Linked DNA regions of Callithrix jacchus. The protein of the gene in region 3 binds, or shares a complex with, the protein of the main gene of each other region. Links are inferred from orthologs where the notes say so. Each region holds a gene or a part of one and is shown on either strand. Other genes may lie near its edges. The genes, in order: GNAT1, GNAT3 and RHO.

Evidence for each region.
Region 1: the proteins of RHO (region 3) and GNAT1 are in contact, whole or in part, in a cryo-EM structure (PDB 6OYA), measured with the Bos taurus proteins. The link is inferred for Callithrix jacchus from reciprocal best matches to the Homo sapiens genes RHO and GNAT1. Residues at the interface, in NP_001014890.1 of Bos taurus: Leu72, Arg135, Val138, Val139, Lys141, Ser144, Asn145, Phe146, Arg147, Val230, Ala233, Gln236, Gln237, Ser240, Thr242, Thr243, Lys245, Ala246, Glu249, Val250, Met253, Met257, Asn310, Lys311, Gln312; in NP_851365.1 of Bos taurus: Ala27, Arg28, Asp189, Leu190, Val312, Glu314, Tyr316, Asp333, Ala334, Asp337, Ile340, Lys341, Asn343, Leu344, Lys345, Asp346, Cys347, Gly348, Leu349, Phe350.
Region 2: the proteins of RHO (region 3) and GNAT3 are in contact, whole or in part, in a crystal structure (PDB 4A4M), measured with the Bos taurus proteins. The link is inferred for Callithrix jacchus from reciprocal best matches to the Homo sapiens genes RHO and GNAT3. Residues at the interface, in NP_001014890.1 of Bos taurus: Leu72, Arg135, Val138, Val139, Lys141, Thr229, Val230, Ala233, Thr242, Thr243, Lys245, Ala246, Glu249, Val250, Asn310, Lys311, Gln312; in NP_001103452.1 of Bos taurus: Ile344, Asn347, Leu348, Lys349, Asp350, Cys351, Gly352, Leu353, Phe354.

Annotation. Positions count from the first base shown.
Region 1 is NC_133516.1:32,777,432-32,787,745, reverse strand, and holds GNAT1 (guanine nucleotide-binding protein G(t) subunit alpha-1), read right to left. Parts: upstream 6,282-10,314; 5' UTR 6,167-6,281; coding exon 6,061-6,166; intron 5,221-6,060; exon of another isoform or gene 4,911-5,220; intron 4,760-4,910; coding exon 4,717-4,759; intron 4,628-4,716; coding exon 4,486-4,627; intron 4,387-4,485; coding exon 4,229-4,386; intron 4,146-4,228; coding exon 4,017-4,145; intron 3,798-4,016; coding exon 3,668-3,797; intron 3,396-3,667; coding exon 3,242-3,395; intron 3,130-3,241; coding exon 2,939-3,129; 3' UTR 2,938-2,938; intron 2,603-2,937; exon of another isoform or gene 1,570-2,602; 3' UTR 1,342-1,569; downstream 1-1,341. Other genes in the region: SEMA3F (semaphorin-3F), read right to left, coding at 8,812-9,222, 10,177-10,310. UniProt on the Homo sapiens protein: Functions as a signal transducer for the rod photoreceptor RHO. Required for normal RHO-mediated light perception by the retina.
Region 2 is NC_133512.1:69,413,884-69,423,881, reverse strand, and holds the start of GNAT3 (guanine nucleotide-binding protein G(t) subunit alpha-3), read right to left. Parts: upstream 4,908-9,998; 5' UTR 4,852-4,907; coding exon 4,662-4,851; intron 1-4,661. UniProt on the Homo sapiens protein: Guanine nucleotide-binding protein (G protein) alpha subunit playing a prominent role in bitter and sweet taste transduction as well as in umami (monosodium glutamate, monopotassium glutamate, and inosine monophosphate) taste transduction.
Region 3 is NC_133516.1:72,617,778-72,628,088, reverse strand, and holds the start of RHO (rhodopsin), read left to right. Parts: upstream 1-5,037; 5' UTR 5,038-5,139; coding exon 5,140-5,500; intron 5,501-7,272; coding exon 7,273-7,441; intron 7,442-8,632; coding exon 8,633-8,798; intron 8,799-8,907; coding exon 8,908-9,147; intron 9,148-9,974; coding exon 9,975-10,085; 3' UTR 10,086-10,311. UniProt on the Homo sapiens protein: Photoreceptor required for image-forming vision at low light intensity. Required for photoreceptor cell viability after birth.

The DNA.
Region 1 (10,314 bases), about 40 Mb from region 3:
GCTAAGTGAAATAAGCCTGTCACAAAAAGACAAAGACTACAGGGATCCACACATCTGAGGCACTTAGAGCAGTCACATTCACAGAGACAGAAAGTAGAATGGTGGGCGCCAGGAGCCAGGGGAAGGTAGGGATCGGGGGGTTATTGTTTCATAGGCACAGAGTTTCCATTTTACAAGAGGAAAGGCGTTCTGGAGATGAACAGCTATGGTGGTTTTACAACATTATGAATGTACTTAACACGGCCAAACTGTACACTGGCAAGTGGTTAAGATAGTAAACTTTTTGATACAAGTACTTTTAAAACTGGCACCAAAAAAAACCCTTAAAACATACATAGCAACAAATAGTTTCCTTTTGCTCCAAGCCCCAATATGTCTTAGCATGCCTCGCATGCCTCTGTTGGATACTCTGTTGGATTTTGATTTTGATATTTTGTTCTTTGGGGTTTTGCATTCATTTCGACTTTTTTTTTTTTTTTTTTTTTTTTTTTTTTTTTTAGATGGAGTTTCGCTCTTGTTACCCAGGCTGGAGTGCAACGGCGCGATCTCGGCTCACCACAACCTCCGCCTCCTGGGTTCAGGCAATTCCTCTGCCTCAGCCTCCTGAGTAGCTGGGATTACAGACACGTGCCACCATGCCCAGCTAATTTTTTGTATTTTTAGTAGAGACGGGGTTTCACCATGTTGACCAGGATGGTCTCGATCTGTTGAACTCGTGATCCACCTGCCTCAGCCTCCCAAAGTGCTGGGATTACAGGCTTGAGCTACCGCACCCGGCCTCATTTCGACTTTTAAAAAATATTATGCTAATGTTATTTATCTTGGTTACTAAATTTTTTGGCATTGCCTTAAATTTTGCACCCGAGGTGAGTGTGCCTCAACTTGCCTCACCCTAATCCCAGCCCTGCAATTATGGTCCTGCTTCAAGGGCTTTCAAAACTCTCCATCACCTTCTGAGAAAGCCCAGGGCCTCCAACTGGCTTTGGGCACCTGTCCACATCTCTCCCTCCCTGCTCTTGCTCCACTGAATGCCTGTGGCTGTGAGCTCATGTTTCTAGGGTTGGTATCTACTACTGTCCCTGCCAGAATGAGCCTCCACCTTGAAACTCCCTTTTGATCCAAGACTGTCCCTGTGAAACTTTTCCAAAACTCCTCTCTCCTCAACCCGTCAAGAGCCATGAATTGGTCCCATAACCCCAAGAGTGCCCCACCTTGTCAGACAAGGCACTTCTTCCCGGGAGAGGCCATCTTCCCACTTCACGCCCAGCCCAGCACTGGGCACTTAATAAATGCCCATGACTTGTGATAATTAAGCCCTCCACCAAGAAAGGACAGCTGGGGCTGGATGCAAAGGTTTATTGCTGAGTGTGTGCGTCTAGCTGAGGGAGTGTAAATTGTGCCCCAGCCTTACCAGATGGAAGCTCCTTGTCCCCGACTGCAGCACAGGCCCTAGCCCGTGGGCATAAACAAAGATTTGGTGCTGAAGAAGGAGGGAGCAGGGATGTGGGGACATGGGCCTTTGTCCCTGATAGTTCAGCCATGGCTCTCAGCTTCCCGGGGAAGGGAACCCTGAATGGAGGGAGGAAGAGAAGCTTCGGGCAGGGATAAGAGGGTCACCTGGGCTTGCTTGTAACCCCACCTGAGGTAGACCCTTTTGGGCACAGCCAGGGCCTTTGTCCTATCCTGAGTCCTCTGTCTGGGCTGATCGATGGGAGCTGGACTCTGTCCCCAGCCACCCCTCTGGACAGCCCTGTTATTGGCCATAGTTGGTGTCAACAGTACCCTCCCTTAACAGACCATCCTGTTGTCCAGTCAGCCGGGGGTACTATGTGTGTGTGGGGAAGTGGCATGTGGATCTGGCATCCAAGGACCTCTGTCTAAGGATCTGGTGTCCAATGAGCAGATTCTGCTGGAGGAGGGGCTGGGGGTTGCTCTGAACCTGGTATTTGGGGAAGGGTCCTGCTGTGCCTCACCCTGGCACCCAAGGACCCCCAGATCTGCCCCCTCCCCACTAATTTGTTTATGTGGGGACTGCACAGGCCAGAGCTAACTTGGACTCTGGACCCTTTGGAGGGTGCTGGGAGGGACAGTCACTGGTCCTGGGTAGACAGGTGCCAAACTTGTCACATGGAGGTGGCAGGGTGAGCAGCTGGCCTGTGTGTGGGAGGGATATCCCCTGTCTTTGATGAAACGCTGGGAGGGAGGGCTGTTTGCTGAGCCCAGACCCACCAGGTGAGTCGTGGGCTCCCAGGGGCAGGAGAGCTGTGGGAGATTGGTCAGTTGAGCACTGCTGAGTCATGGAAAGCTTCAGCTGCCCCAAGTCCTGCCCATTCCTAGCTGGGGCTGGCTAGTGCAGAGTCCTAGAGGCCAGTGCAGCCAGGCAGTGAAGGGCAGGGCTGGGGTTGGGGGCATGGGATGCTGGGAGACTGTGGGAGGTATGGAGAAGGGTCCGGGCCTCAAAGCTAGCAGGGCTCAGGGCTTTGATGAGGTGGCAGGCTGGGGCCCAGGAGTTCTGGGGGCTGATAGGGTCCTGAGGGCTGGGGCTGCAAGGCAGCTAGGGCTATCGGGTCTCGGGGCAAGTGACATGCATGAATTCAGGCAGCTGTGAAGAGCAAAGGAAACCAAGTCAGCATCCCTGAGACACAAAATAAACGGGTTTAGGCATTGCGTTTTGGGGGCAGCCCTGGAAGCTGAGACACCTGAGGCCTTAGGGCGGGGCCAAAAGAAATTCAATAGATGGGACCTGTGTGAGTGGGGCGGGGCCTCTGTCGGTGGAGCGGAGCCTCGGCTGTGGGTGGAGCCTGAGGTGCTGGGGTGGGGCCTGGAAGCAGTGGGCACCGGAATTTGGAGGTGAGGCGCCAGGGCGTTGGCGTGGGGTGGGGAGCAGGGGCGGAGCTGGGATATTGAGGCGAGGCGCTGGAGAGGGCCGCGACCCACCTCAGAAGAGGCCGCAGTCTTTGAGGTTCTCCTTGATAATGATGTCGGTGACAGCGTCGAAGACAAATTTGACGTTCTGCGTGTCGGTGGCGCACGTCATGTGGGAATAGATCTCCTTCACGTCGCGCCGCATGTTGAGCTCGAGGAATTGCACCTTGATGTAGTTGCCGGCGTCCTCGTAGGTGTTGGGCCCTGCGGGGGCGGGAGCTCTCACTCGGCCCAGCCCTTTCTTCCCCGCGCTGGGGGGGCGCGTGCCGCGATTAAGGGGCGGGGGCGCCGCCTGGCGGCCTTACGGGCGCCTCACCGTCGTAGTCCGGGAAGCAGATGCTGAGGTGCGCCTTCTTGATCTTCTCGGAGAAGACGTCCTTTTTGTTGAGAAAGAGCACGATGGACGTCGTGGCGAAGTAGCGGTGGTTGCAGATGCTGTTGAACAGGTGCAGGCTCTCGTGCATGCGGTTCTGAGGAGGGCAGTGGCTGTCGGGCACCAGGGTCCGCGTCCGACCCGCAACCCCTGCTCTCTGGGCTCCCGGCCCCGGCAGCGCGGGGCTTCTCGTTCAGCTGGCTCGCAGAGGGCGCCCCGCACTGCCCCAGGTGGGCCTGCTGAACGCCTCAGGCCGTCTCGGACGGGCCTCCCCTCTCAGGCCCTCCCCCAGCCCAGCGCTAGGTCTCTGCCTTCAGGGGCCAGCAGCTCCACCTAGCCCCTGGAACACAGACCCTGCCTGGCACGCACCACTTCGTCGTCCTCCACCAGCACCATGTCGTAGGCGCTCAGCGCCGCGATGAAGATGATGCAGGTCACGCCCTCGAAGCAGTGGATCCACTTCTTGCGCTCGGAGCGCTGCCCGCCCACATCGAACATCCTGCGGGGCCGCGGGGGCCTGAACCGGCGCCCCGGGCCCCCTGGGCTTGCCCGCAGGCATCCCCTCGCCCAGTGCTGGTCGGGGAGCTCTCGGCTGGGACTAGCACCCTTTTTGCTGGAGGGGTATCCAGGAAGGGGCAGGGCCTATAGCAGGGACGGGGTTCCCGGGGCGAGACCGGGCCTGGGGCAGTGACCTCCCGGGCTAGCACGCGGATCGTACCGGAAGTTGAGGTCCTTGAAGGAGAACTGCGTCTCGATGATGCCTGTGGTCTTGACTCGCGAGCGCAGTACATCTTGCTCAGTGGGCACGTAGCCTGGGGTTACTAGGCGCTCCAGATCGGAGAGATAGCTGCGCGAGACCCGGCCGCGGTGGGTGGGGAGGCGTGGAGGATTCCCCCCGCACCCCGTGCCCTGAGCTGCCCGCGCGCTCACTAGCCCGCCGAGTCGTTGAGCTGGTACTCCGAGGCGCGCTCAAAACAGGCCTGGATACCGGAGTCCTTCCACAGCCGCTGGATGATGTCCGACATCTCCTTGGGCATCGTGCCCTCCTCGATGGTGTCCGCCATGTGCATTAGCTTCCGGGCGTCGTCCTGGGGACAGGGTGAGAGTGGCTGGTGGCGGCCAGGGACAAGGGTGCAGCCGCGCGCCTTGAGTCCCCAGAGGCCCACTCAGCCCGCCTCCTGGCACACCTGGCGTGCAGAGTCTCCGTACTGGATGTTGAGTGTGGTCATGGCGCGCACGATGGCCAGGATGGACTGCAACGTGTTACCGTAGATGATGGCGATGAACTCGAGGCACTCTTCCAGCGAGTATCCGTCCTGGTGGATAATCCTGGGGTCGAGGCGATCAGGATGAGCCCCTCGTGGGCAAGTGGGGAAGGACCCAGCCCGAGGGACCTCAGGACAGGTAGGGGCACTCACTTCATCTGCTTGACGATGGTGCTCTTCCCGGATTCACCAGCACCTGAAAGGGAGGCGGCGCCTCAGAGCTGCGCTGACTGTCTGTCCCCCGCCCCTCGCAAGGAGGCCGGGAGGACGGGGCCAGCCCGAGTTGACTAGGTGTACCTGCAGCAAAGAGGCCTGGGCAACAGCCCACACCCCATAGTCACACCTACCTCCCTCCCCAACCAAAGTAAGTCCTAACACCCCGACGGCACAAGGTTTGCAAATGTCTGGAAAGTGAAGAAAGGAAGCCAACGAGGAGAATCAACGACATCAACTGGTTTGGGACAGGGGAGGCCCCAAGACCCCGGCCCAGGCAGCTTTTATTATGGTGTGAGAACACAATGAAGAAATTCCGGAGCTCCACCGCCACCTTGTGGGAGCCTCTAGTACCGCATGCACTGGGTTATTTGAGGCGGGTCAACCCCTTGCTTTTCACCTGAAGGGGTGAGGGTGTCTCCGAGAGGCTCAGATGGAATTAGCGCCTTTGGGTAAGAGGGAGGGCAGAGTTGACATCCTTTCCGAGCCTGCCCCTGCGAGGGCGTTGGGCACAGTTAATGAGATTTCTGGCTTAGCCTCTCTGCCTTGGGAGGAAGTGGGGCTGGCTTGGTCCTTCACCCACCTACAGCTGGTTGACCGGACCCTGGGGAGCATGGGTGGAGCCTGCCCTTTCCCCTTGAAAAGTCGGTGACCTTGAGGCAGGCCTGGATCAGCCCCATCTCTCCTCACTACCCATGGTCTGTTGGACACGGCTTTATCTACTCCTGCTGGGCCTCGGCACCCACCCGCCCCTCTGGCGGCTTTGTAGGTCTACCAGTCACAGCCCTTTGGCACCTGAGAGCCATTCTTTGTGGATCTGGATGGCCAAAGAGGCTCCTCACTCCCAGGAGGACTATGCCTGTCCCCTTCCCAAAGGAGCAGCCCAGTAACAGGCTCCCAGTGAGGCCCCTGGCTTCTGAGCACTGCCCAGCAGGTCCATCAAACCAAAGGCTGCAGGGAGCTTGCAGGAGCCCAGCCGCAGAAGAGTCAGCCTCACACATACCCGTACAAGAATGTGGTTGGCATACACCTCTGGGGAGGGTGGGTCACCTGAGGCAGAGCCAGCGGTCTGGAGAGGGGCTTCGTGGGATATCCAGCCTTGAGGGACTAGGACACCACCTGTCAGGCCTGGCCTTGCTTGGCCAGGGCTCCCACCCTGTGCCCTACCCTGTGACAGGTTCACACTGCTTCCCAAGGAACACTTGTTTCACAGAAGGGCTGCCTGCCTGCCTCCAGACCAATGACCTGGTGGCAATGGCCCCACCCCTGGGCTCACACCCCTACCCAGAAGCAGCAGCTTCACGGTTCGAGCATCCTTCTCAGCGTCTTCTTTCAGCTTCTTTTCCAGCTCCCTGGAGTGCTTCTCCTCAGCACTGGCCCCAGCCCCCATGGTCCAGCAGCAGGCGAAGGGACAGAGTGAGCAGGTGGTTCTTCTGGATGGAGGGGATCCCCAGAACCCAGCCTCCCAGGCACCCTTCTGGCCCCAGGAGGACCTGCAATCAACTGGCTCTCCACGGACCTGTGCAGGCCCTGGTGGGGCTGCTTAGTGGGATTTGGGGGCTGGGGGTGTCCAAGAGCCAATTAGAGACAAGGACAGGTGAATCCAGCTCAGCCCTCCCAACCCTTCTAATCAGGCTCGCATAGCCCCAATCCCTCAACAGCTGACTCTGCACCCCTGATGTCCTCCTGCCCCCTCCTGCAAGGAGAGGCCCTACCTCTGCCTAGGAGTAGGGAGACATGTTCGTAGGGGCAGGGCTGAGAAAGGGGAAGACAGACCCTTGAGCCCTGGGGGTGAGGATGATGGAGGTGGGGCTAGCAGCAAGAGGGCGTAATTGAGAGAAGCATGCCTGAACCACCTGCCTCTTGCCAGGCACTGGGCTCAGCACCACTTCTTATCTTGTTCTAAGCTCACACTGGCCCTGGAGGATGGGTGCCCATGTCATCAGCCTCATTTTACTGATGAGGAAGTAGAGGCTCAAAGGGTCACACCACAGGAAGAAGTTAAGAAGGGCTGGGTAATTCTGGACTGGGATTTTTTTTTTTTTTTTTTTAAGACAAGAGTCTTGCTCTGTTACCCAGGCTGAGTACAGTGGCACCATCTTGGCTCACTGCAACCTCCACCTCCTGGGTTCAAGCAATTCTCTGCCTCAGCCTCCTGAGTAGCTGGGAGTACAGGCACCTGCCACCATGCCTGGCTACTTTTTATAATTTTTTTTTTTTTTTTAGTAGAGACAGGGTTTCACCATCTTGGCCAGGCTGGTATTGAACTTCTGACCTCATGATTTACTCGCCTCTGCCTCCCAAAGTGCTGGGATTACAGGCATGAGCCACTGTGCCTAGCCTGGCCTGGGATTTTATGCCCTGCAGGGAATCCAGAGAGAGGGAAATGGTGGACATTGCATTCGTCCCATATCGTGGGCTGGAGTTGCTCTAAGCAGGCCTTCTGCTTCCAATGGACTCTGGTGGGCACACTCTGTGTGCTGGGTGTATGTGTCTTTTACTGCACCAAGCAAGCAATGATTTGACACATTTGTGCATGTATACCTGGGTGTACATGGGTGCCCGTGTGCATGCTTATGTATGTGTGCACATTGTATCTACCTGGCTGCCTTTTAGCACTCAACTCTGCCACAGACTCAAAAGGGGGTGCCAGGACCCCAGACACCAGGCACTAACGGCTGTCTCTAAATAGTATGTGTGGGAAGTGGATGCTGGCTCCTACAGCAGGCTGGCAGCTTCTACACCCACCCTGTTGGATGATGGACATCTGTCCAGGAGTGAGGCCATTTCATTTGTGCCACTTTCAGCCTTTGGGCTCCACCCACCCTCCCTGACCCTAAGGAGTGAGTGGGCTCTGGGGGGGTGGGGGCAGTCTTTGCAGCCCTTTACACTGCCCAAGGGTTTCTCAAACTGAATGTGGTTTCTACATGTTGGGTTTGTTTAAAGTGGGGCCAATCTACTCCCTTCCCAGCCCCCCCCACCTGGCTCCCCAGGCCCACCACATGTGGCTCTAAACCAACCCCCGACCAAGGAGAGAAGCCAAAGTCTAGTCCCAGAGCCAGTGTTTATTAGCAAGATGGAACCCAAAGGCGGCTGTGGCCTGGGCAGCAGAAAGCTGCCGGGAGCCCCCACCCATCTACCCAAATGCCCCCAGAGCTAATTACACCCATCGCTTGAAGTGGTGGACATAAGAGAACCCTGGGGAGCTTCTATTGGCCCCAGGCCTCCACCACGGACCCCCTCCCGTCAGGGCTGGGCCTCCCATCAGGCCTGCCTGGGCCTAGCCCCTCTGCTATGATCCCAGCCTCCAAGTCCAAGCGGCACAGGAAAAGCTAAGGAAGTAGAGTGGGGTGGCCCTGCCCTGGCCAGGCAGGGAGGAGAGAAGGGGCAGAAGGAGCTGCCCCACCCAGGCAGGATGCCTCTTCTCCTATCCCCAATAAATAGAGAATAAATACCCAGGAAGGGGCTGGCCATGGCTGAGTGACCCCAACCCAGGCAGGGGCTGGCATCCTGTGACGGCCCCTTCTTGCCTTCTCTGAGTGCACCTGAGCCCACCCTAGTCTCCAAAGTGGTCCTCGCATCCATGTCTATGCCACAGCACAGGCTGACAGCACACATCAAAAAAGGTGGACAGTCCAAGCCCCATTCAAGTAGGGCTTGCTTTGCTCCCTCCCATTGTCCTGTAGATCTTGGCGGAGGCTGTCGAGCAGGTAGACTTCCAGCTGAGTCTGGGGACGGTATGGTCCTGGCTTGGCCCCACCAACTGGTTGGGCCTGGTTAGGCTGGCTCTGTTTCCTGCCGTCTCTGACCAGCATGGGTCTAAGTTGTGGAGGATGCTGCTGCTGAGGCAGGCTATATTCAACCCACCAATAAATACTGTCTTTGCAGGGGCAGGGTATGTATAGAATATAGATATTTTATATATATATATATATATATATATATATATATATACACACACATATATATATATATCTTTTATATTAAAAGGGATGAGGGCTAGGCTGGCCCATGACAGGGCTCAGGCAGCTGGCCTCATGTGTCCGGAGGGTGGTGCCGGCGGTTCCGGGGCTTTTTCTGGTCCTGGGACTCAGGAGGCCGGAGTGCCCCTGGAGCCTCCCTAGGGCTGGGGGGCACATGACGCCAGTAACCTTGGCAGTACTGGTGGATGAGGCCCACTTCTGGTTGGGCCAGCAGCTGGGCCAGCTCCTGGTAAGGAGGCGTTGGGGGGCCTGTGCCTGGGGATGGCAGGGCGCTCACAGCCAGTGGTGGGAAAAGGGCAGCATGGACGGCGTCCCGGCCCAGTACATGTAGCTGCACTCGTGTGACAACGTGCTTGAAGTTGTTTTCCGTGGCTGTGCAGGAGTAGAGGCCACGATCACTGAGCTGCAAGGCACGCAGCAACAAGCCCTGCTCTGTGCGCAGGAAACGGTCCTCTGCACGAATCTGCAGGGGCAAGGAGAGGGGGTTCGGGGGTTCTGTGACCACCCCACAGCCATAGCCAGCGACCAGATCAGACCACCTTTGTGGCCATTCCGTGTAGAGGCACCCATATGGAATTTTCATATGCCAGAAAAACCCACATATAGTTTCCACACAATGAGAGCCATTTGAATAAGGCATCTGTACAGATCTCCATTTCAGGAGAGACGACCATAGGAGGTTCTATACAATGAGAAGAGTTTGAAGCGCACACAGAATTTTTTTCTTTTTTTTTTTTTTTTTGAGACAGAGTCTGGCTCTGTCACCCAGGCTAGAGTACAGCTGAATGATCTTGGCTTACTGCAGCCTCTCCCTCCCAGGCTTAAGCCATCCTCCCACCTCAGCCTCCCGAGTAGCTGGGACCACATACATGACAGTGCCTGGCTAATTTTTGTATTTTTTGGTAGAGAAAGGGTTTCACCATGTTGCCCAGGCTGGTCTCTAACTCCTGACCTCAAGTGATCTGCCTGCCTTGGCTTCCCAAAATGTTGGGGTTACAGGTGTGAGCCACCATGACCAGCCACATTTTCCATTTAATGAGAATATCCAGTTGGGACAACCATATAGAATTTCCATGCAAACAGGGACACCTGTAGGGATTTCCATAAAATGAGGGCCCCACAGAATTTCCATATACTGGAGCTCACCCACATGATGCTTTTGTAGGAGGTACACCCCTAATGCGGTCTATGTATGAAATTTTCATGTGAAGAGGCATACCTAGAAACACTTTCCATATAATGAGGCCAGTCTCATGGAATTTCCACATAACTGTTTTCACTCAAAGGTTTTACTTGTAGGAAAGGGAGCCTGGGAGGGGTTTCACAGCATGGGAGTTGCTCCAGATCACTCCTCTATGTTTCACCAGCCCACAAGGACTCCCACATCCACGGTGCAGCACTGGGCACAGGAACTCACCTCTCGGCGCCGGTCACCAGGATCTCGCTGGAACAGCCACTTAACAGTGGCTTGAGGCGAGCGGGGCTGGCACTCAAGGAAGGCCGCACTGCCAGCCACACCATACTGCACAGACTCCACGGCATTCTTGTTGGCTAT
Region 2 (9,998 bases), on a different chromosome or scaffold from region 3:
TTCTTCTTTTATTACCAGTGGTCAGAAGGAGACTTACTGGTTAATCCTAATGTAATTATTCCAAAGAATGTGTTTATCTGCTCCTATCCATAGACAGGCATGGGCTGTGTTAGTGTAATAAAATTAAGAGTTGATGAACTTATAATCTAATCAGTAACTCAGAAACAACTCTAGTTTCCTGGAATCTCTCCCACTCATATCTAGGGATAATTAAAAAAAAAAAAAAGACCTATTAAAAAGCACACATAGAATAAAAATAGTCACTTAAATTTAACCCAAGTATTGAGTCCTCAGTTCTCTTAGTTACATGTAAAAAAAAGACAAACTAAGAATAATGATACACATTTATTGAGTTTTAATTTTTTCAGATTTGGGAATCTATTATGCCAAAGAATAAACCACATTTGTCTAGATCTTTACAAGTTACAAAACACTTGGCATCCATTATTTCTCTGAGTTTATGTGGCTAGCCTATGGTCACTCTGGGAAGTATAAAAACATTATACTGGATGAAGATATTAATAAATCAATTTCTAACTCAGATGGTTTAAAAACACATTCTGTTCTAGTATTAAATTGTATTCTCCTCATTCTGCTCTGTGGTTAAACCTATTTAGTTTATTCTGTTGTGTAAGTTTTATTTTACCAATTATTTTGTACCAAGCCTTTAGATAGCGTCAAAATCATTATAAGTCTCCTACTACGTACCTTCCAAAATGTCTATTTGTTGAATAAGTGAAACCATTTGAAAAGTTTGAAAATGTTAGCTATAATAAATATACTACATTTGAAAATAGTTTTTGATCTCTAGACTCCATCCCTATTCATGTTTCTAAAAGCCAGATTGGTGGAATAGTATTTTCAAACAGTAAAGCTCAGATGACATCATTAAAATAATAATAGTATGGTGCTTACAATGTAGCACAAAGAAAAATTAGAAATAAAATATTTTAAAACGAAAAAAAAATCTATGATAAATTTTCCATGGTATTCTTCGAAATTACTAGCTGAAAGTGAAAAATTGTAGAATAAATGTTAATTATTTATAGCACAGGGTGTTTTGAATATGAAGAAGAAGGAAGGCTAGTTGTTTCCCTATACTTTCCATGGTGTTTTAAATCTAAACAACCCATGTGATGAAAATTTGCCAAAACACAAAGGAAACTGATGCAGCAAAATCAACTCAGACTGAAATTTGACACAATAAGCATGAAGAGAAGAGAAAAGAAAAATGGAAACATGGCCCGTATTGAGTTTACAATTAAATAATAGGTATTATTTTGAATAAAATACCATTGAATGAAACATTGATAAAACTTTCAAAATGAATTTAGATAAAAATGAGAATATTCATTAGAGTTTGTTTTTTTTTTTAATGTGCTCTTTCTGGAATATCTTTGCAAGTGAATTTTTTAAAAAGCATATGACATGATTGTCTTGATTGCAGTTATCTATTGTGCTCAGCAAGGTATGAATCATCACCAGTGTTTTCTAAAAGCCTACTTTTTGCTAAAATAAAACACAGATTTGGCATCTGTTCCATGATTTTACTGAAGGTCTAAAAAGTGTAATAAAAAGGCATCTGTCTGTGAGATGATCCTTTAATTGTAAAGTAGCACTTTGATAGCTCTTCAGACTCAGTGAAATCTTGTGTTCGATGATACCAAATGGTTACAATTGCTTTACAGTACATGTTAAATTTGGAAAGTTGCTGTTATGCTGAAAGCTTCTAGAAATTCATTAGATGAAGATCAACATACAGAAAAAAAGTCTGTCAAAAGTGGTTTTAGATTTCTTATTTTTGTAAATGTAGTTATTGACTTGGTTTGGTCACTACTAAGTTTAAACTGATTAGCCCCATGTGACATACACTCATTGTGAAACTTAAAACTTATCCAGATCACACTGATGAATGAGAGCACCATTTCAATGATGGGAAAATTAAATAGATTTCACTGGTGAGGAGATTTGAGGTGGGAGAGTGGAAAGCTTTGGTTTCGTTCAACTGAACACTTTTCTAATGTCTTAATGAGGTCACCTTGAATATAAAAATTATAGTTTTGAGAATTTGAATTCAGTCCAAAAATATGAGAATGAAGTAGAGTTATATGACTGTTAGGAATTTGATAACTATATTATCATATATAGTATTCAGATGAAATCCAGAATGGAAACTTAGTCAATTGTTTGTAATATAATTGAAATATAAACAACTTAAGAGAATTTAATTTATTTTGTATAAATAAAATGTGACAAAGGGGTTTAGGGCACATACTGTTAGAACCAAATAAATCCAAATATTTTACTTAGTAATGATGAAACTAAATGTATAAAATTGTAATCACGTTGGGAAAGTAAAACATATAAGAGTCCCACTAATTATTCTTTTATACTTCTGGTACAAATGTTGCTCTTTCTTCTTGATTTAACCACCACTTAAGTCTATACATAATTTATATAATTTATTTTTCATTTGATAGCATTGCATACAATAAGTTGGGTCTCAGTCAATGGCTCTGTGGAGTTGTGAAATTTACTAATTCTGGAAGCCCATCTTTATCAGTAGTCTGTTGATTTTCAGTTCCAAATTAAAAAAAAGAATCTTCCTTTTGTCCATGTTCCATTAACCCTTTTTGATTCAATTTTCAATAATCTATTTTTAGTCATCTATACGTATTCTTTTTAAACATTTTTATTTTCTTAATCGACAACATTGCATGCTTCTATTGTGTACAACATGGTATGTTAAAGTACAAATACACTGTAGAATGGTTAAATCTTGCTAATTAACAAATGTATTACTTCACAGTTATCATTTTTGTGATAAATGCACATAACACCCACTCTCTTTACATTTTTCAAGAATACACTATATCATAATTAACTATAGTCACCTTGCTGTACAATAGATCTCTTGAAATTTATTCCTCCTATTTAACTGTGATTTTTTTAAAATCTTTAAGCAACAACTCCATTTCCCCTTGTTCGCCCCAACCACCCTAGCCCCTAGAAACCACCACTCTTCCTTGTTGTTTTCCATTACAACTGAATCTCCAGTTGACTGGCTGCTCTGATATGCTTATCTCAAGAGTAATTGCTTTTAGCATGTTTAATAGTTTTTATCTTAATCTAAATTGTGATATTAGCCCTTTCATTTTTTTTGGTTTTCCATTTGCAATTTTACAAAATAAGAGAATATATAAAAAACAGACATTTGGTATATTAAAAACACACATCTATTGAAATGTTATTTAAATATGGGGATTTTGAATGCATTTTATCACCATTCTTATTCCATTGATCTTAGTATAAGAGGAATATAAAAATGCATTTGTAGGAATGCTTGTCTTTCTCTTTCACCTTTCATTTGCTTTTCCTATGTCCATATTACTTTCAGTCTGATCAGAAACTAACAGAATTCTCTGATGTGTTAGGAAGCATATATTTCCTGGTGTCGTAAGCACATAACCCACATCTTTCTAAGTCACCGACATCTGGATGGTTATTGACAAGTGCTGTGGGCCTGTGTGCAGGCACAGAACCTGTGTAAGGGGCAAGAGCTGGGAATCCCACAGTTGGCGTCTGAAACACTCTTGCTACTGAGAGCAAATTAGACACAATGAAGGAATACTTAAATAAATTTAAGAATTTAATGCATTTTATATTATTAAGTATTTAAGTGTTTAAATACTTGAAATATGAGGAAATTTGTTATGTGAAGTATGCACAATTCTGAAATAAAATGAAGTCCTTTTATGTATAATCAAAATCAGGGAGAACGTACAACTTACTATAATTCAATCAGAATTAAGCACTTATTTTGTATTCTTCTTTATAGAGGTCATTATTTTATTTCAAAACCATATTTGTGTTTCAGTGACAACTGCATGTAAAATGTTTATTCTTCATATAAAATATTTTATGCTTTATAGAAAAAAATCTGCATACAGGTTATTTTTATTTTTTCAATTAATTGAACATTATTGAATTTAGAGTCAAAGTAAAACACTGTGTTGAGTTTTGAGGAAAGGAAAAATATAAAAGAGACATAAATACTGACCTGAATGAATATATAATTGCACCAAAAGGATTTAGATAGAGTATTTTTCAAGCATACAAGTAATGTCACAGGCAGTATTAAGGAGCCTAAGTAATAGTATCAATATAATTTAAAGTACCTTATCATTACTCTCTAAATAACTTGACTAATTGATTTTAACAACACAAGTAAATTACTAACATCAACTTCAGCATCAAACAACTCAACATATTTCTGTTTAAACAAAATAATGTAACTCCTTATGACTTTTAATTAAAGGATTGCTTTCAGTATTAAAAGGCTGACATTCAGAAAATAATTAGAATGTAATAAAGTAAATATATCTGATTTTTCTTTTATTAATAGTAAATCATATTATTGACAGAGAAATTAGCTGATAAATATTTACCTCTTTGCTAACGAAAAAACATGTAATAAAACACTAAACAGAAAAATTATTAAATATTGATAAAGTGCTAGTAAATCTGCTTAAGTTTCCAAATACATTTTCATAATAAATTTCCCACATGATAATACACTCAAAATTAAAGTTTGAGAAAAGTAAATGTATCCCAGTTAAAAAAAAGTCAGGTTTTTGAGAGCAAAAGGGAAAAGAAATTACCTAATAGGAGCAGCTTTACAGTTCTTGCATCTCGCTCAGCATCCTCCTGAAGCTTTTTCTCCAGTTCTTTCGATCTTTTGGCTGACTCCTTGCTCTCTGAACTAATTCCACTTCCCATCTTGTGGTAGTAGATACGTGTCGGTTTATTTGTTCCAACTTCAAATGCTGAGCACAGCTGTGGTTTGGACATAGGATGCAAGAGCAATGCTCTCCTGAAGTACCCAGCAGTCCATTCCCTAGGGCTCTAAGATTCTGCTTTGACTAAGAAGATGCTTTCTCATCTGTCAGCTGATCAAGTGGTAAAACCATACCACCCTCATGGAGGCTAAAGAGGAAATTCATTATGCTTGCAAATTAAACGACTGATTTGGGCACATCTTTGAAAATATGCTTATCTGCCTTAAAGAATAGTATAAAATAATGTAGAAAGTTGTCAGATTCTATACACTAGAGATGATCTACAATAAGCAATTCAAATAGAATGTTTCTCATTACAGGGGAATTTTTATTACTGTGATTAAAAGTTATTACTAATCAGTGATGCTTGCATCCCATTTTCAGATATTTGGATCTTTGATTTATTTATAGTCAGTCCTATATCACAATCAGAATATATACATTAAGTTATCCAACTTTTATGGTCTCCTATGCTTAGATTATTATTTAAGGCTACTGAGCATCTATTAGCATCTGTCAGTGAACAAAAAATATTGTTTTCAACAAGGGATACAAATACATATAGTTTTTATATCTGTACATAATATATTGCTACAAATAAAGAATTCAACGCAATTTTCTTAAATTATTGATTTTAGTCTCATAGGATCCATCTCTATAAACTGAGCTTTTACCGCCTGTGAGAAAGTCAATCCATAAACACTAATTGAGGGCCCACTTGGTGTAGACACTGAACTGTGTTCAATTTAGGCAGCACATTAACTCTTTAGGGCCATTAAGCAATAGCCGCTGTGCTGGAGGGACTTTTATTGATTTTGTACCAAGGGAATAAAAACCAATGTTCTTTGAAACAGCAGGTAATTTGATTTTTCCTACAAACTAAAAACAGTAATTACACCCAAATATGTTCCATATCCTTCAGCTACTCCAAAAGATACCATGTACTTCTTGTAAATATTCAGGATTGAGGGCAGAGATGATGCAGCACAATTTTTTATTTACATGAAGCATAAAGCACTTGGTAGGTAGTCAATCAATATTTTCCTTATAAATCGAGTTGGATGCCTGTGGCAGCAGATAAGTCTTTCAATGTGCATTTTGGGATTTGTGAATGTGTTTAACCAGAAAATGCTCGAATACAGTCCATCCATCCACCTGTCAGTGCCGCTCTTCTTGTGGGATCATGTGCAAAGTTTGAACAGGTGGGTTTTTACATATTCATACAATAAGAAAATAGGCTGTCAGATTAAATACATATTCCTGCTTTGTTTACTTTTGCCACATTAAAAATATTAGGCTGAAGATATATAAACATAGTCAAAACTTCCTGAGTTCCATTCCTCCAAAGCCATATTATGATAGTATGAAGATGTGCAATGGTAGGTAGACAAGGATTTGTGCAAATGATGTGGTGTTGCTTTTACAATGCAAAGAGCCTGTCCCAAAGGAAGGAGATTTCTACTGCCTACTGCTCACCTGTGAACACAAAGTCCAAGCTGAAAGCAATGTTTAGCACATTTAATCTCCTTTTGCCTATTGCTTTTATAAAGAATTTGAATATAATAATAAACAGAATTCTTGCATGTTCCATAGCAGCAATGAACTGACAGGCTACATCATATAATTTGCATTCAAGTATAAATATACCTCATAGCTTTTTGGCAGAGATATACCCTGGTTTTAAGAACATATGTGTTTTACTAAGGCTTCCTCATTGGATCACTAACTAAAACTGGCCAACTCTTTCAGGAGTAGAAGTATATATTTTCTGCACTGTATAAAACGATGAAATTCTACTTTTCTGTTGTAACCAGTAATGTTCATCAACTTTATGAAATTGTCATGTTATATTTTTCATCAGTGATTAAAGTATTCTTGACATGAAATTCTAGTTATGTCTGTGTTACAGAGAGGGAGAGCTAGAGAGAAAAAGACTCCTTTCTCAGACTTCTCCCCTGGATGCCTGGGACACAGCATCATTAATGAGTTGGGCTTAATACAGCTGTTAGTTCATATTGCTTCACTTAGGCATATAACTTTCTATACATAAAGAAGTGAGGAAAATCAAAATAGTGAACTCCTCTGGAGTGGTGATAATATCTCTTTTTTTTGAGATGGAATTTCGCTCTTGTTACCCAGGCTGGAGTGCAATGGCGCGGTCTTGGCTCACCGCAACCTCCGCCTCCTGGGTTCAGCCAATTCTCCTGCCTCAGCCTCCTGAGTAGCTGGGATTACAAGCACATGCCACCATGCCCAGCTAATTTTTTGTATTTTTAGTAGAGACGGGGTTTCACCATGTTGACCAGGATGGTCTTGATCTCTTGACCTCGTGATCCACCCGCCTCGGCCTCCCAAAGTGCTGGGATTACAGGATTGAGCCACTGTGCCTGGCCGATAATATCTTCCTAGCTTGAATGGTCTATAGGATATATGGCACAGTACTAATCCAAAATTATTTCTTGCTAACAAATTGATAAAGGCCTGGAGTCCTTTTTTTTTCTAGTGCTTAGTGACCGTATGGTTAGGATTTTTTTTCTAAAATTTTAGAGTGACTAAAAAAAAATCAATAAAAAGCCCAATTTTAGTTTTAAATAGTATCAGGATGTACAATTGTAGCTATTAGTCCAACAGTCACACATTTGGTTCCTCAGTCTTAAAACTAATAGCAACATGCTTCTTTTCGATCATTAAACCCTGTTCCATGATGACAGAAAACTGATAAAAGAGGACAACAGAAAAAAAGAACTAAATTTCATGCTGTGACCATAAATTTTGTTTGTTCTTGGAAACAAGAAATGTGACGCTAGCCAAAACACCAACATCATGTTAGAGTTTTATGCACATATACGTACACACACACACACACACACACAAACACACATATATAAGGTTGGTACAAAAGTAATTACAAAGACTGCAATTACTTTTGCACTAACTTAATATATGTTCCAGCTATGAGAGATGATTATCCTGTATACACACACTTGCACACAAAGACACGCATGCACAAGCCCATGCACACACAGGAAGAGCAAGAGATTGTGTTGGAGTGCTGTGGTCTTTTAGAAAAATGTTTGTATAATGTTTATAAACAATGTTTAAGAACATTGCTTCTTTATTGTGTCACAGTAATATTGATTTGAGAACAAATACAGAGAGTGAACCACACTTAAGCTCCAAAAGTCACTGAAATACCACAAGCATGGACGATGAGAATAAATTTTCTCTTGCTGTTTTTGGTTAGGATCTCTGTGGAATCTTCAGAGAGGAACAGTAGCCTTTAAAAAGTTTGAGTAATCACTATTTTACATTGATGATTAAACATACAGCTTGAAGTGACATGCAGTTATTTGCTACCTGCTTTTAATAACCAGATTTCAATCCATGTTTTTGGAGATGACTCTTGCCAATATTGCCTGTGTTTCTACAGTCATCAAGCTGAATTTCTCGTGGAGATGTTACATGTGGCTCACTTCAATGAGTTGGGGATGTTACAGCTTGGGGATGTTACAGCTTAGGGATGTCTCATTGGCTCAGCTCCTGCTGGAAATTGCCAAAACAGGCTGTTATCTGTGTTACTCTTTATTTTGTTTCCAATCTTATAGGAGGTGTTGATTTCAGGCATTGTATCCTTAGGTGGTTTGAGTCATGGCTGCCTTAGCAATGCCCTTTATCCTTGTATATTCCCATGAAAGTTGAGGCAAACCATCTCTCCTTGGCTAATGGTACTCAAATGTGCACTTCAGGGAGCTCCAAGCATAGTATTTCTTCTAGAGAGTTCATGCCTTTTGGGGCTTCCTAAGAGCAATCTTTTGACTTTGAGGGAATAAAGCAAACCTCACTCTTTCAAGTTAGTACATTCAGATGGTGCAATAAGTTTACATTGCCAAATTAAACAGCTTTTATATATTAATAGGTGACATAAATGTGTATTTTTATTCATTGAAGTTGATTTCTACCTTTCCACATGTTTTTATGAATTAGGACAGAATTTTACATATGATTATTGGATGAGAGTCACAGTTGTTTCCAGGGTGCGTTTTCTTGTGTCAAATTGTCTCTTTTATGAGTTTTAAAATATTGCTCTTTAACACATTTCTGTTACTAACTCCCATAATCATATTTCTCAGCGATTTCAGCCCTGATTATTGCAGTAGCCTCTCACTTAGGTTTCTTTATTCTGGGCTCCACTCTAACCCAGTCCAATCTGTCTGATTGTGCCAGGCTAAATTACCTCAAAGGCAAGTTTAATTATTACTCTTTTCTGGCTAGAAAAAACAAATGTTTCTATATTTGCTGCTTCCTCCTGTTTTACTCCTGATGCCATGTACTCAATAATATAGTTAGCACAATCTAACTGTCCAGATGTATTTCCCAAGCACAGGCTGACCTCAAGGATATTGCAGATTCTGTCTCAGATTACCGCAATAAAGTGAATATCACAGTAAAGTGAGTCACACAAATGTTTTAGTTTCCCAGGGCACAGAGAAATTATGTTTATATTAAACTGTAGTCTATTAAGTATGCAATAGCCTTGTGTCTAAAAGGCAATATGCATACCTTAACAAAAAATACTTTATTGTTAAAAATGCTAATAATCATCTGAGCCTTTAGCAATTTATAACCTTTTATAAATCACTGTAAATATTAAAGAAATAAATGTTTACAGATAAACACAATATATTAAACATCAAGAGGTATAATTTCATTGGCCATTGAATATGGTTTTAATACTTTTTAAAATTATATTATAAGTATATTGATTACTTGGAAAACAACATAACACTGATTTTTATATAAAACCTAATGACTTCAAGAAAATAGTTACTACTTTTTGTTGTCCTTGTTCTGTAACTTCTTAGGAGTATTTATATAGTAATATATAAATAGTAATCTCTTTGTACATCTTCATCAGAGCTCGGGTGACCAGGTGCATTGTCAACTTCAGTATTTCAAAAAGAATCTTCTCTTTTGAGCAGTAAGTCTCAATACTAGTCTTAGAATATTCAATAAACCAGGCTATAAACAAATGTGCTATCATCCAAGCTTTGTTTTTCCATTTATAGAACACAGACAGAGCAGTTTCACTTTTAAGGACCCTAGGATTTTTGAAATTAGTATTGGCTTCAACTTAAAGTCACCAGATCCATTAGCCCCAAA
Region 3 (10,311 bases):
CCTCGACGCAGCCAGGTGGGGCTGAGTCATGTGGGGGACCAGAAGAAAGAAAGCCAAGGAAGAAGAGGAGGAGAAGGATGCTGACCTAGCAGCTCCTCTCACAGCAGTTCCTCTCCTGCGGAGGCTGAAGAGCGATTTGTGTGCTGCAAGCTAAGCCCCTAATCCTCCGAGGCAGAAGCAAAGCCTGCACCTGGGCTCCCAAAAGCTGGGACTTGGGTACCCAAGATGGCTACATCAACCTTCAGAGACAGTCACCCCCTAACTCCATGCCCCACAGCTCCTCACAGCTCTTCCCAAACCTGCTGAAAGGGAGGCAGAGGGCAATGGCTCAGAAAGCCCCCCACACTCCAGCTTGGCCAACACCCACACCATGGGTTTCTCTGGACTGCCTGACACAAGGTTTGGGTGCTGGCCAGGCCTGTGTTCAAATTCCAGCTCTGCAGAGGAACTTTGACCCTGTGTGCTCCAGATTCCTCAGTGGTCAGTGGGGAGTGAGACGCTCTTCACAGCGGGCAGGAGGAGTTGTCCATTCATTCGACAAATGTTTATTGAACACCTCCTGTGGGTTGTGAGCTCAGAGGCAGTGATGAACAGGCCAGGGTGGTCCTGCATTCTAGAAAGAGATGGGAGGTCAGTCAATAAGAAGACAAATGAGGCCAGGTACAGTGGCACACCTTTAGACCCAGTTACTCAGGAGGCTGAGGTAGGAGGATCACTTGAACCTAGGGCAGGAATTCAAGGCTGCGGTAAGCTATGATTGTATCCCTGCATTCCAGCCTGGGCAACAGAGCAAGACTCATCTCTAAAAAACATTTAAAAATTACAGCCTCCCAAGTGGCTCCCAAGGCAGGAGGATCACTTGAGCCTGGGAGTTAGAGACCAGCTTGAACAATATACGGAGACCCCATCTCTACAAAAATGAAAATAAATTAGCGAGGCCAGGCATGGTGGCACAGGCCAATGGTCCTAGATATTCAGGGGTTGAAGTGGTGGACTGTTTGAGCCCAGGAGGTTGAGGCTGCAGTGAGCCAAGATTGTGCCACTGACATCCAACCCAAGTAACACGGCAATACCCTGTCTCAAAAAGGACAGGCCAGGAGCCACCGCACCTGGCCTATAACTCACACCACGCCTGTAACTCCAGCACTTTGGGAGGTCGAGGTGAATGGATTACTTGAGATCAGGAGTTAGAGACCAACCTGGCTAACATGGCAAAATCCTGTCTGTACTAAAAATATAAAAATTAGCCAGGTGTGGTGACACACGCCTGTCGTCCCAGCTACTTGGGAGGCTAAGGCAGGAGTTCCACTTGAACCTGGGAAGAGGAGGTTGCAGTGAGCTGAGATCACACCACTGCACTCCAGCCTGGGCAACAGAGCAAGACCCTGTCGCAAAACAACGACCAAACCTGGTGGGGGTGCCTGGTGTGTAAGATGGTCAGGGGCGGTCTCCCCAAGGACATGAGTGGAAACAGAGACCTGAAGGAGACTCAGGAAGAGATTAATACTGTCAGCAACAAACATATTGATCACTTACAAGCACTCTCAATAATCCTATTAGGTAGGTGCTCTTGTCATTCCCATTTTACAGAGTGGAGAACCAAAGCACACTCTCGGGAGGGTCGGGGAGCTGGCTGCACTCAGGCTGTGTAGCTTCAGTCCAGATGTAAGGGTGGGTGGAAAAGAGTCTTGCCTGATGAGGGAGAACAGTGAAACCAAGGCTGTAGGGTCCAGAGATTAGTAAGCCAGGCTCTCATGGGGAAAGCAAGTGACTTTTACTGTATAGCTGGGTGTGCCCCCCACCCCACACTGAGGCTCTCTTGTCCCAGCAAACTGAGGCCCAGAGAGGCGAAGCAAGACTACCGTGATAACTCAAAGACCAGCTAGAATCCAGCCTCCTCTCCTCAAGGCTTCCATTGCCCCACCCCAGGCCTGTGTCACTCAGTCCAGGGCCTTTCCATTACCCCAGCTAAACCTTTCTTTAGTTGTTTATACCATGGTGTGAATGGCTGGCTGGTCTTTCCTGAGAGCTGTGTTTGATGATGGGAGGGAGGAATAAGCAGGTTTGGGAAGCTGTTACCCTATGAAGCCAGGTTGGCTGTGCCGGTTATAGCCCAGGCTGTCGCTGATTTGTTACAGGACCTGAACAACCCTGCAGACCTAAGCCTCAGTCTTTTCATTTGCAAAATGAATGTAGCAGAGACGGTCAGAGTAGGTGACTTCAAATGACCCTTCCAGCTTACTGTGAGCCTGTTACCCTGAACAAAGAGCATTTTTTATTTAAAAAAAATTTCTTGGGCTGGGCACAGTGGCTCACGTATATAATTTCAGCACTTTGGGAGGCTGAGGAGGGTGGATCACTTGAGCCGGGAGTTCGAGACCAGCCTGGGCAACATAGTGAGACCCCATCTCTACAAAAAATACAAAAATTAGTGGTGTGCACTTGTGGTCCCAGCTACTCGGGAGGCTGAGGTGAGAGTATCTCATGAGGACAGGAAGCAGAGGCTGCAGTGGGCTATGATTGCGCCACTGTGCTCCAGCCTGAGTGACAGAGTGAGACCTTGTCTCAAAATTTTTTTTCTTTCTCAAGCTTTACAAATACAGAGCACTGCCATGTCAGTGATGGCTCTTATTTCCTCATCACCAGGACTCCATGAGATTGAGATTGTGAAACTCACAAGAGAGGAAACTGAGACAGAGAGCGGAAGAACTGGGATCATCAGGTCCATTCCCCCACTCACTCCCTCATTCAACAAATATTCAGGGAGCACCTTCTAGGTGCCAGGCTCTGGAGGCATGTCAGTGAACAAAACAGCCAACATCCCACCTCTTTCCACCACAGGCCAGGTGCCATGCTGGGCTCTGGGAACCCTGTTGTGAACAAGACAGACCCAGGCCCACCCTTGTGGACTCACGTTGCAGGCAGGGAGACCGGCACAAAACTCATGCACAGAACACAAAAGGCTTCATGCTGTCAGAAGCACCAGGCAACAGGCAAGGCGCCAAGGTGCTGCTAAGCTGTGTAGGGCAGGGGCTCAGCCCTTCCAGGGAGGGGCCGGGTGTGGGTCAGTCTTGACCCAAGGCATCCAGGACACCCTCCTTCTGGCCATGAGGGTCCACATCAGAATCAAACTCCCACCTTAACCTCATTAGCGTTGGGCATAATCACCAGGCCAAACACCTTAAACTCCAGGAGGTCCCATCCCACCCGCCCTGCCTCAGCACTGCCACGTGTGCCAAGCCCTGTTAGACCCAACACTGCCCAGGCCAGGCAGGGGGCTAGAGCCCAGGTGGGCTGCAGGGAAGGGGGCACCCTTCTGAACAGACAGATCTAGGAATCCTGGGTGAGAGAGAGATTAAGGGACACTTTCCTGGCCTCAGGGCTCTGCACTCGCAGGGGTCCCTCTGCCCGGATGACCTTCCCCTGAAGCTTCCGCCTGTTGTTCCGGCTCTCCACTCAAGCTCCAGCTTCTCAGAGAAGCCTCCTGTGTTGGGAGTGGCTGTGACTGAACTGTCCTCACTCTTACTCGCTCCATTATTCTTTTGTGGTCCCTGTGTCCCCACCCCCACAGAAACACTGGCTTCTTATGGGGAAGGGAGCTTGCTCTTTTGTGTCCCCCGAGTGGAGACTCAGGGGGGACACAAGCACCTTGTCTGGGCCACAGTAGGTGCTCAGTACACATGCTGGCTGGACGGTGGTCACTGAGTGTTCGAACATCAGGCACTCTCAGCACCTGCACAGGCCACCCTGGCCACCCCACTTCATTCCTAGGAGGTGACATCGTGTTCCTTGGATAGCTTGAAGAGGGAGATCTACCTCCATTTGCCCCCAGGCCATCTGCCCCCAAGGCTCTGACTACTTTCTTTCCCACAGTGCATCCTGCTGTCCTGGAACCAGCCCTCATGGGGCCACCTGGCACATGGCATCTGAGACCCTCGTGGTTGACCAGACCTTCCCTAACAGGACCCTGTCTGCTGCCTCCAGGATGGGCCTCCCCTTCAGACTGGAGTCCCTGAGGGGCTCTGTCTCTCCCCTGCTCTGGTAGCCCCCTCCATCCTCCCTCCCTCCACTTTAGCTTTGGAGACATTTGAGTCACCTTTCTACCCCAGAGATCTGCCCAAGCCACTGCCCACTTCCCTCTGGATAAAGCCATGTTACTCGACTTGCTGTTCAAGACCCATCACAACTGCCCCCAGCCCGGGTCTTCCTCACCCGGCCACCTGGCAAACTGCTCCTTCTCCCAAAGGCCCAAACATGGCCTCCTGGGCTGCATTCCCCCAGGCAGTCAGACCCATCTCCACAACCTCACAGACACCCTGGGCGGAATCTGCTTCTTCCCAGTTCTGAGTCCTCCTCAGCCCCTGAGCTACTCTGGGCAGGTCTGTTTCTTTTCCATCTTTGTATTCCCAGGGGCCCACAGATAAATGTTTAATGAACAAACTCACAGAGTGAATTCCAATTCCATGCAACAATGATTGGGCTTCTGGGCCCCAGGCCATCTGTCTGGCACCAGGAACGGAAGCTGGAAGATGCAACCCCTGCCCTCGTGGAGCTCCTCTTGCAGGAGGAGTGTGGGGACTGGATGTGCCCAGAGGGAACAAACAGGTTAGGGGCTGTATAACGAGATGAGAGACTGGGAGAATAAACCCAAGAGCCTCTAGCTGTCCAGAAACTCTCAGTCCAGTCCAGACAAAGATCCGAAGTCAGCTCATATTAAGCCAGGAAAAATGGCACAGAGGCCCATGGTCCCCATTTCAGACCAAGGCCACCAGACTGAGTTGGGACCTTGGGACAGACAAGTCACATAGAAGTTAGGGGCCTTCTCCTCCCTTGCCCAAGGTCCTGAGTACCTCCCCTCCCTGACCTCAGGCTTCCTCCTGGTGTCACCTTGGACCTCTGGGAAGCCAATTAGGCCCTCCATTTCTGCAGCGGGGATTAATATGATTATGAACACCCCAATCTCTCAGATGCTGATTCAGCCAGGAGCTTAGGAGGGGGAGGTCACTTTATAAGGGTCTGCGGGGGGTGGGGGGGGTCAGAGCCCGGAGTCATCCAGCCGGAGCCCTGAGTGGCTGAGCTCAGGCCTTTGCAGCATTCTTGGGTGGGAGCAGCCGTGGGGCAACCACAAGGGCCACAGTCATGAATGGCACTGAAGGCCCTAACTTCTACGTGCCCTTCTCCAACGCGACGGGCGTGGTGCGCAGCCCCTTCGAGTACCCTCAGTACTACCTGGCAGAGCCATGGCAGTTCTCCATGCTGGCCGCCTACATGTTCCTGCTGATTGTGCTGGGCTTCCCCATCAACTTCCTCACGCTCTACGTCACCGTCCAGCACAAGAAGCTGCGCACGCCTCTCAACTACATCCTGCTCAACCTGGCCGTGGCTGACCTCTTCATGGTCTTCGGTGGCTTCACCACCACTCTCTACACCTCTCTGCATGGATACTTCATCTTCGGGCCCACAGGATGCAATGCGGAGGGCTTCTTTGCCACCCTGGGCGGTATGAGCCGGGTGCGGGTGGGGTGTGCAGGAGCCCGGGAGCATGGAGGGGTCTGGGACAGTCCCAGGCTTGGCGGTGGTGGCTGAGAGGACTTCTCTCTTCTCCTCTCCTGTCAGCATTATCTGAAGCCCTCATATATTCAGTCAACAAACACCGTTTCGTGGTGATATCTGGGCAATTTGTGCAGGGCTGGCACTGAACACTGCCTTGATCTTATTTGGAGCAAGGCGCTCGTCTCATTTCACAGCAAGGAAACTGAGCTGAGGCTCAAAGAAGTCGAGCGCCCTGCTGGGGGTCACACAGGGATGGAGCTGAGTTTGAAGCTCGCATCTGTGTTGCTCCTTGGGCCATGTTCGGAACACCAAGCCTCTGTTTCCCTCGGAGCAGCTGGGCTGGGTCAGACCCAGGCTGGGCACCAAGGGGAGAGCTGGGCAAGCCAGACACCTCCTTTCTGGGGGCCCCAGCCCGGGGCAGGAAGCGGATTCTCCATCCTCCGGTCATTGGGTCTTCCCTGTGCTGGGCGTTGGGCCGGTCCCCTCTGGCATCCTCTGCCTCTCCTCCCAGCCTCCTGTCCTTGGGTGCCCCTCCAGCCTCCCTGCCGTGCTCCTGGGCTCCTGGTGTTAAGAGCTGCACGCCGCCCCTCTGAAGCAACTCCTTTCACAGGTGATATGTGGCTGTGAAAGATGCTTTAGAATAATGTTTTGCTTTTAACAGGAAAATAAACGGGGGTGCTGCAGAGATAACAGATCTCACTTAACAGAGGGGAAAACTGAGGCAGGAGAGGGGAAGAGACTAATTTTGGGATGTGGCTGGGCAGCAGCAAGAGCCTAGGTCTTGGCACTGATCCAGGAATGTGTCCGCTGAGATGCAGGAGGAGACACTCATGGCAGCCATTGCAAAGCCAGGGTGACAGGGAGAGCTTAGCGCCAGCCACAAGCGTGGCTCTGCCAGCCTTGCCCCCTGGCCCCATGTCCAGGCAGCATCCTTGGCCCCACTCTCAGGGACTCTCTGGCCATTGTTGGGTGTTTAGTACATTCAATAATCAGAGATCGCCCAGTTCTGGCCAGAAGGTGGGGGTGCCACAAAGGGTGATTTTCCTCTGCAGGGTCAGTCCCAGTTTATAATTATCGTCCCATTCACTGTCAGGAGTGGTTGGTAAACTATATGGCCACTCTCCCTGTGGAACTTCGTGGGGTGGTGAGCAGGGCAGATGTCTGAATGCCATCGTTTCCTTCTTCTTCCTCTGTGCAAAACATTGCCTGATGCTTCATGGTTCCTAGGAGAGGGTCCCACATGCCCTGCATTATTTCATCTCCCGAGAGGGGAGAGGGAGGAAGGACCCCAACTCTGGGTTTCAGCCACCTCTGCATTCCTTCCCAACAAGGAACTCTGCCTCACACTTAAATGCATTCTTCTGTTAAAACACACACACACACACACACACACACACACACACACACACACCCCACCCTACCGGGTTCCCAGTCCAGTCATGACCTACTGATCTGATTCGTGTCTCTCATGCATCCAGAGCTCTAAGCAAATAACTTCCCCCATTCACTGAGTTTCTTTGCCCAGCTCCCCTCAGTGTGGGGTCCCTCTGCCCCTTCCTCCTCCTCCCAGTATCAAGCTCTCTCCTTCCTCAAGGGCTCTTCAGGGCCCTCTCTCGCTCCAGGTTGCTTTCCTAGCTACCCTCTCCTTGTCTAGGGGTAGTGCGCCCTCCTTAGACAGGCAGTGGGGTCAATGCTGACCGCCTGCTGGCTGCCTTGCAGGTGAAATTGCCCTGTGGTCCTTGGTGGTCCTGGCCATCGAGCGGTATGTGGTGGTGTGTAAGCCCATGAGCAACTTCCGCTTCGGGGAGAACCATGCCATCATGGGCGTTGCCTTCACCTGGGTCATGGCCCTGGCCTGCGCCGCACCGCCCCTCGCCGGCTGGTCCAGGTAATGGCATTGGGCAGAAGGGAAGGGGCTCCAGGGGCTCTCTGTAGGGTCCTCCAGTCAGGACTCAAACACAGTGCTGTCTGGTTCCAGACACTGACCTTGTAATGTCTTCTGGCCCAAATGCCCACCCAGGGTAGGGTGTAGGACAGAAGGAGGAACAGACTCTAAAGCTGCTGAAGGGCTGGTCCCACCTCCTGAGCTCCAAGTCAAAGAGAATCCAAGACATCCCAAGCCTTCACCTTGGCTGTGCCCCTAATCCTCAGCTAAGCCAGGCGCAAATTCCAATCCTCTTTGGTCTAGTGCCCCGGGAGCAGCCCCCTCTAACCTTGGGCCTCAGCAGTGGGGGAGGCCACGCCTTCCTAGTGCAGGTGGCCATATTGTGGCCCCTGGGAACTGGGTCCCATTTGGCCTCTAGGCAATTCCAAATGGGGCTGAGATGAGACACAGCGGGGACGGTGGTTTGGACATCAGGACTGGTGACTGGTCCCCAGAGGCCTCGTGTCCCTCTGCCTCCAGAAAATTCCCACTCTCACTTCCCTTTTCTCCTCAGACTGGCTAGGGTCCATTTCTTACCCCTTGCTGAATCTCAGCCCACCCCCTGGACTTTTTCCCCATCTTCTCCAGTCTGGCCTAGTTCCATCCTCTGGAATCACAGCCATTGGACGCTCTGGGTTTCCTGAGGCCATTTCACTGCCACCAACATCAGGAACCATTGCCACGTCCTAACCATGTGCCCTGGGAGCCTCTTGTTTCCAGAAGCTGCACAGAGATCCCTTAGATACCCTGTGTGTCTGTCTTTGGCCTGGAAAATACTCTCACCCTGGTGCTAGTTTGTACAAACTGCCGCAAATACAGAGCCTGAGGGCTCTCCCCTCGTCCTCACCAACCTCTGCCTGGCATAGCCTGAGGCTCAGCAGGCAGCGGATGCTGAGGCAGGGCACGCAGGGAGAGGCTAGGTCATGTCATCTGGTACCGCAGCCACCAAACAATGAAGCGACACTGATTCCACAAGGTGCATCTGCATCCCCACCGGATGCAGTCCATCCTGTCACCCAGCCACGCAGACCTTTATGATCCCCTTTCCAGGGAGGGAACAGGAAGCCCCAGAGAGGGCCAGTGCTTGGCAGGCACCTTGGCCGGGGCCATTCCCAAGTCCCTCACAGGCAAGGTCTCCCTACCTGCCTGTCTCAGGTACATCCCTGAGGGCCTGCAGTGCTCATGTGGAATCGACTACTACACGCTCAAGCCGGAGGTCAACAACGAGTCCTTTGTCATCTACATGTTCGTGGTCCACTTCACCATCCCCATGATTGTCATCTTCTTCTGCTATGGGCAGCTTGTCTTCACCGTCAAGGAGGTACGGGCTGGGGGTGGGTGGCCTCTGAGCGTCCAGCCCCCAACGCACATCTACAGCTCCTGCTCCTCGGAGGAGCCATGGTCTGGACCCGGGTCCCGTGTCCCTGCAGGCCGCCGCCCAGCAGCAGGAGTCGGCCACCACACAGAAGGCGGAGAAGGAGGTCACCCGGATGGTCATCATCATGGTCATCGCTTTCCTGATCTGCTGGGTGCCCTATGCCAGCGTGGCATTCTACATCTTCACACACCAGGGCTCCAACTTCGGTCCCATCTTCATGACCATCCCAGCGTTCTTCGCCAAGAGCGCCGCCATCTACAACCCTGTCATCTATATCATGATGAACAAGCAGGTGCCTACTGCGGGTGGGAGGGCCCCAGTGCCCCAGGCCACGGGCACTGCCTGCTAAGGATAAGCTATGTGCCAGGGCAGGGGAGGGGGCTCCATCAGGGCTACTGGCAGTGGGGCTCACGGGTCAGCAGTGTCAATGGGGAGCGTGTGAGAAATGCAGGTTCCTGGACCCCACCCAGACCTGCTGAATCTCAGGGTGGGCCCAGGAACCTGCATCACCAGCAAGCCCTCCAGGTGCCTCGGATCCTCACTCAGGTGTCAGAAGCTCCAGTCCAGATGGTTCTGGAAGCCTGATGTCAACGTCAGCAGGTCCCAGGCCGAGAATGGGATGGGCCAGTCTCCATAAAGCTGAATAAGGAGCTAAAAAATCTTATTCTGAAGGGTAAAGGGATAAGGCAGTCCCATAACAAAGAGCAAGTGGTTTCCCCGAGGAACCCAGAAGGGGGGAAACAGTCTCTGAAGTCAGCTCTGCCATTTTCCAGCTTGTGGCGCTGGGCAAGTCAGTTCCCCTCTCTGGGCCTTGGTTTCCTCATCCATAGAAAGGGCAAAACACCAAACTCTCAGATTACAGGAGAGAATTTGCAGCACACCCTTGGCACGCAGAGGGCACCATGAAATGTTGAGGGTGATGCAGTCCCCTATTGCTCGGTCCCTGGCATCTCTACGGGTGGGGAGTGTCTGCTTAGCAAGTTCCCTCCAGGAGGCCGGATTTGAGTGGAACTGTGAGGGGCACAAGCCGGGAAAGGGTTGGGGCAAACCTCACCAACGTGCCAGTTCCAAGCGCACTGTGGGCAGCCCCGGTCCTAACTCAGGCCTCTTGCCTTTCAGTTCCGGAACTGCATGCTCACCACCATCTGCTGCGGCAAGAACCCACTGGGTGACGATGAGGCCTCCGCCACCGTGTCCAAGACGGAGACCAGCCAGGTGGCCCCGGCCTAAGACCTGCCAAGGACTCTGTGGCTGACCGTAGGCGTCTCCCATCCCCCACACTCTCCCCCAGCCACAGCCATCCCACCAGGAGCAGCGACTGTGCAGAATGAACGAAGTCACATAGGCTCCTTAATTTTTTTTTTTTTTTGAGAAATAATTCATGAGAGAAAAATGAGGTTTCTCACTCACCCGGGATGGCCTGAGAAGGGACATCCACGAAAACCTACTGATCTGG